Linked DNA regions of Oryctolagus cuniculus. The protein of the gene in region 2 purifies or fractionates together with the protein of the main gene of each other region. This does not show direct contact. Links are inferred from orthologs where the notes say so. Each region holds a gene or a part of one and is shown on either strand. Other genes may lie near its edges.

Region 1 (2,345 bases), on a different chromosome or scaffold from region 2:
TGTGCTGTGCCTAGTGGCACCTGGGCTGGGGAGGACACTGCCCCTGTCTGGGTTTTTATAAATGTCTTACTCAAGTTCAAACCTCCAGCTTGTGAATCAACTGTGTCTCTTTTTTGACTTGGTAAGCAAGTATTAGGCTTTGGGGTGGGGGAAGTCTGTAATGTGAAACAACTTCTTGTTGTCTTTTTCTCCCATTGTTGTAAATAACTTTTAATGGCCAAACCCCAGATTTGTACTTTTTTTTTCTAATTGCTAAAACCATTCTCTTCCACCTGGTTTTACTGTAACCTTTGGAAAAGGAATAAATGTTGTCCCTTTAGTGGTGCTTTAATGACTGGTCTTCTGGGGATGGGGTGAGATCTGTGGACACTAGTTAACCTCCAGCCAGGAGCAAACTAGAAGGCAGGTAAGTTTACGGGCTTTGTCGTCGTAGGGCTGCCCTGCCCGTACACCAGAACGCAGGGAGTTCAGAGCTGACATCAACCCAGGGAGTGCCAGGAAACAGAGGCTCAGGTGGGTATAGAAAGGTACCATTTTATTACAAAGAGTCGCACAAAAATGAAAATAGTATCTCAAAAAGGAAGCTAGGCCGCCAGCCTCCACCTGCAGAGCTGGGGAAGACCGAGGGCGGGCAGCATTAGTTTCGGGGCTCACCTGAGGCCAGCGGGACGGTATGACGAGAACAGAACCAACCTAAAAATGGCTAACGTTACCTTAGGGGCTGGAAAGAACAGGAAGTCCCTGAAGACCCAGCCACCCCTACCCTCCTAGAATGGTCAACAGGGGGCACCTTTCCATACCTGCTAGGGACACACCCCGGCGTGTCTTGTAGCTCCCTTCTACCCACACCTGGAGCCCTTCGTGGTTTAAAATCGAACTGGGGAGGGATGGCTGGCAGGGCAGCGGCTATGAGTTTACCCAGCTTGGCTACCCTGGCCTCAGGGCCTTGGTTCTTGTCTAGTCCTCAGGGATATTTATATTTAATATATTTTTATATAAATACACAGAAATAGAAAATATAAAATCTTGAGGGGTTAAGGGAGAAAGGTGGGAAAGCTGGCCAGGAGCCAGATCTGGAGAAGTCTGCTCAGGCCAGCTTGACCTCCTCTTTGACCCTGTGGAGAAAGCAGAGACTGGCATGAGATAACCCACCCCAGAGGCCTTGGGGCAAGAGTGGGGATACAATGACTTCCTCAGGCCCAGGCTGCCCAGGTGACTGCCGGGGGCTGGGGCTTCTTAGCTCTGCCTAGAGCTGCAGAGACAGACAGACTGGTCCCTGAAAGAGGCCTTTGTAAGTGGGACCAGCTGTCCCTGTGCCTTCCCTCTCAGAGCAGTGGGACAAAGGGGCTGATGCTCCAACACCAAGGCAGACAGCTCCTTCCTCACCCTTTGGCTTCTGGCTTCTCCTCCTTGGTTTTCTCCTCTTCTGCGACTTCTAGAACATAAGAGTGCAGGGATGATCAAGGGCAGCCCCTCTGGAGAGACCCATACAGTCTTTACCCCAAAACCCCCTCCCAGCACTATGGCTTACTGGACTTAGAACAAGAGAAAAGCCCATCCCAGGCCCTCCCAGTGAGCCCTGCTGAAAACAGACAGGTTGGACCGGTTTTCCAGCCTGCCTGAGCCAGAGCTTGGTGGGCGGAGGCAGCCCCCTGGGAAACTGGGGTGAGTGCTGGGAAAAGCGCTTGGGTGGTATGTGAGAGCCACTGCATTGTGGGCCCTGCTGCTTCTGGGAGCCCCTGATCCCTGCAGATGTGGCAGGGCGTGGGCTGAGACCCCAGTGCTGGACATCCAGACCTACCTTTCTTCTCTTCAGCATCTTTGTCTTTTTCATCTTCTGTTTTGACTCTCTTGGCTTTCTTGAAGTTGGAAGAATTCTTGCGCCCGCCCTCTCCCTCCTCATCGGAGTCGGAAAACTCCTCCTCACAGGCAATTCGTTTGTCAGAGGAACAGACTAGGAGGCAGGAGATGGAAAGTCTGGGTGAGAGCAGGAGGTTTTAATCCCAGGGTCTATGTTCAGTGCTTCGCTGTGTGTCCTCAGAGACAACCAAGGGATGGGGACCACAAGGAGGTGAGGGAGTGAACTGACTCCCAGCCTGTTCCTGCAGGCCCTAGAACTTCCAGGTTTCTCAGCAGGCAGGCAGAAATGGCGGAGGGAAGCCCTAGCTGCCTGCTGAGTAGAAGGCGGAGGCCAAGAGTCTGTGTCTTACTCGAGATGCGCTTGTCAGGGTCTTCTTCATCCTCATCGCCACTCTCCTCCGGGATGGCATCCTCAGGAATCGCCTGCATTTGGACCCCAGGCGCGTGCGGCAGCATCCTCAGGTTCTCGAACAGCCGCTGTCTGT
Region 2 (3,656 bases):
GGAGGCAGCAGTGACAGCTCAAGTAACTGGATTCCTGACACCCAGATGAGATGTGGACAGAGCTCCCAGATCCTGCCTTCAACTCAGGCCAGGCTTAGCCACTGCAGACATCTGAGGACTACTATCTGTCTCCACTTCTTAGATAACAAACAAAAACCAGCAACATTACTTCTACCATGATAAGAACACACAGCACCCTGGCAGCACTCAAAAATGCAAGCTGGTAATGAACTAGAACCCAGGTTTACACATTGGATAGCTGTCACATCTATTTTCTGCAGGACTTAGGAACTCACATTTACTCAACAAATCGTTGAGTGAATAATTTACCACGAGCAACAGACTAAAAGCATGCCCTTTCCCCTAATGCTTGCAATACCTGGGGAGATTACAAGAGGACAACCCTGTCCCCAGAGCAGAGAATACTCGGGAAAAGAGAAATGGGAGTAAAACCTTGTTCACATCAGCACCGCTGACCACCCATTAAGTCAGCCACGCTCACATGAGCAAGTGTGTACACTTCTGTTGGGGTACAAGGGAGCAGAATCTGACTGCCCAGGGCCACCCATGACTACTGAACCATTCTTGGGCAACTAGGAAAGAAGATAAGTCAATTTTACATCACTGTAGCTAGAGCCTCTCTTCCCAAAAACTCCCTCCTCAATGGAGAATCTGAAACACATCGGGGCACCACTTTTAGGGCGGCACTGCCTCCGGGATCAGCAAAGGTGGACAACGTAAGGCTGACCTGCACTTTAACAAGGCTTACCTGCGTTTCGGATCCTTTCTTTGTACTGCTGATCTAGTTTTTTCATTCTCTTCTGATATTCCTGTAAGGTACCTGATTTGAGAATTTACAAAATAGTTACTTTAGGGATCAATCTGTTTCCTAACATTATCTTTGAGCACCAACAGTGATATTTTAATAACACCAGAGTAAAAGACAAATGCAGGAAAGCCCGACCTGGGCAGAGTTAACTGGATCTTGGTTCTTGGCCAAGGCAGCAAAAATCAAATTAGTTGGACCTAATCTGAGTCCACCCCAACCCAGTGGCCCAAGACTCTCCCATGAGGGGGTGTGGAAGGATCCAGACACCCCAGGTGCTATCAGTCCCTGGCTGCTGGACAGTGTGTATCCCTTTACAGGAAAAATCTTCTAGGTCAAGGCTGTCCAGCAGAATGCTCTGCCAACAGTAGAAATGTACTACATGTGCACTAATATGGTAGCCATCGGCCATGTGTGGCTATATTAGCTCTTGAAACTAATGTGACCAAGCAAGTGAATTATTGTTATTTAATTAAATAGCTACTTGTGGCTATGCCAGTTCTAGACAGCTCTAGTTTAGATTCTAACTGAATCCCTACTTATTTCACTGCTCTTCCCCAAAAAGCCAAGAATCACGGTCCCAATTTGAGAAGGAAACCTGTTCTAATAATGTCTGTCCCTGACCCAGGCTAAGGGAGTGAATCATGTAGGACTAAAATATCTAGAGGAAAAGCAGTTTCACAGATGTGGGACTCCACAATATGAAGTCAAAGAGCTAAAGGTAGCAGCTAATGGCCCCGAGTTCTTACGGGGGCCCAACACTCCTCACCTATAAATTCACCCACTCCTATTTTCTTCATTTTGCAGATAAGAAAAAAGATAAAGAGAAAGGGATATGACCAAGGTCACATTCCTAGAGACACTGGGGTTCAAACCAATCATTGAGCTCAGCCCATGTTCTTAACCCTCACACTTGCACTGCCTTCAGTAACCAAAAGCAACAGACAAGATCCACTTTTTATTTAAAGATTTCTTTAATTTATTTGAGAGGCAGAGTTACAGACAGAGAGAGGGAGAAGAAAGTCCTCCATCTGCTGGTTCGCCTTCCCATGTGGCCGCAATGGACAGAAACTGGGCCAATCCAAAGCCAGGAGTTAGGCGCCTCCTCCAAGTCTCCCATGTGGGTGCAGGGGCCCGAGGACTTGGGCCATCTTCCACTGCTTTCCCAGGCCATAAGCAGAGAGCTGGATCAGAGCAGCAGCCAAGACTCAAACTGGCACCCATATGGGATGCTGGCAATGTAGGTGGAGGCTTAGCCCACTACACCACAGCACCGGCCTCAGATCTAGTTCATTTTTAATTTACCAAGAAAAGAGAAAAAACAGTATGGATAATCCACAGTTCATTAACATTTGGTTGAGATAGAGTAGTAAAACTAACTATTCTTTGCTACAATAATATCTAGCTTTAGACACAGTGATAAATTCATGTCCTATAAAAGCCCCAATTGAAATTTCATTTGAAGAATTAATCTGTTACTTTTTTTTTGCCTTTTTCAAAGTGTTTATCTTTTATTTATTTTCTTTTAAATTTATTTGAAAGTCAGAGTTACACAGAGAGAGAAGCAGAGAGAGAGAGGTCTTCCATCCGATGGTTCACTCCCCAACTGGTCACAACAGCTGGAACTGCGCCGATCCGAAGCCAGGAGCCAGGAGCCAGGAGCTTCTTCTGGGTCTCCCACGCAGGTGCAGGGGCCCAGGTGACTTGGGCCATCTTCTACTTCTTTCCCAGCCATAGCAGAGAGCTGGATCAGAAGTGGAGCAGCCAAGTCTCGAACTGGCACCCATATGGGATGCTGGTGCTTAAGGCCAGGGCGTTAACCCGCTGAGCCACAGTGCCGGCCCCAAACTGTTACATTTTAAAAATAAATTAATGGGGCCAGTGCCACGACGTAGCAGTTTGACACTGCGGCATGGAGGGTAAAGCCGCTACTCACAATGCCGGCATCCCACATGGGAGGCAGTTGGTTCCTGTCCCAGCTGCTCCACTTCTGACCCAGCTCCCTGTGACGGCCTAGGAAAAGCAGAAGTTGGCCCAAGTGTTTGGGTCCCTGCCACACACATGGGAGACCCAGAAGAAGCTCCTGGCTTCAACCTGGCTCAGATCTGGCGATTGGGGCCATCTGGGGAGTGAACCAGCGGATGGAAGATCTCTCTGTCTCTCCCTCTAACTCGGACTTTCAAAGTAAATAAATCTTCCTAAAAAAAAAATCACTTTAGTGAGAGAAGATAGCAAAACATGCAGTAGATCGCTAAAACCAGCCAGATCCCCTTTTAAGCCACTGCCGCAGAGAAGTGAGATTCACACACCGAAGATTTGAAGCTAACAGTGAAGGATTCAGCCACACACTGACCTTCCTGCAGTTGCTGCAACTGCCTCTTGAGAGAAGCCAGTTTGTCCTGATACATCCTGTGAAGAAAGAAAAGCCACGCTGAAAAGCAGAACACTCAATACTCCATTCAAACATGGTCCTCGCAGGAATTACCTGGGATGTTACGGGAACGTCAATCCTAACATTTAAGAGACTGGCTCATTTAAAGTGGACCAGTACAGGGGTCAAAAAAGGACTGCATCCCACATCAGAGCGCCTGGATTCTAGTCAAGGCTCCACTCTCCATTGCAGCTTCCTACGAACACAGACCCCGGGAGGCAGCAAGTGACGACTCAAGTAACTGGGTTCTTGCCACCTACAAGAGAGGCCTGGAATGGGTCCCTGGCACCTGATATTGGGGAGTAAACCAGTGGGTGGGAGTTCTTTCCCTCTATCTCTCAAATAAATAAAAATTTAAAAATTAAAATAAGACCTTCAAATATGAAGACAGCTATTATA

What was found. Proteins that work in one complex are often made in the same cells at the same time.
Region 1: the proteins of SUDS3 (region 2) and HDAC1 purify together in Homo sapiens (affinity purification with mass spectrometry; 9 studies listed by BioGRID and IntAct, counting the BioPlex papers as one, with this or other methods). This does not show direct contact. The link is inferred for Oryctolagus cuniculus from reciprocal best matches to the Homo sapiens genes SUDS3 and HDAC1.

What each region holds. Positions count from the first base shown.
Region 1 is NC_091438.1:140,146,337-140,148,681, forward strand, and holds the end of HDAC1 (histone deacetylase 1), read right to left. Parts: intron 2,342-2,345; coding exon 2,211-2,341; intron 1,955-2,210; coding exon 1,802-1,954; intron 1,436-1,801; coding exon 1,387-1,435; intron 1,116-1,386; coding exon 1,088-1,115; 3' UTR 515-1,087; downstream 1-514. UniProt on the Homo sapiens protein: Histone deacetylase that catalyzes the deacetylation of lysine residues on the N-terminal part of the core histones (H2A, H2B, H3 and H4).
Region 2 is NC_091452.1:14,529,550-14,533,205, reverse strand, and holds part of SUDS3 (sin3 histone deacetylase corepressor complex component SDS3), read right to left. Parts: intron 3,236-3,656; coding exon 3,180-3,235; intron 842-3,179; coding exon 770-841; intron 1-769.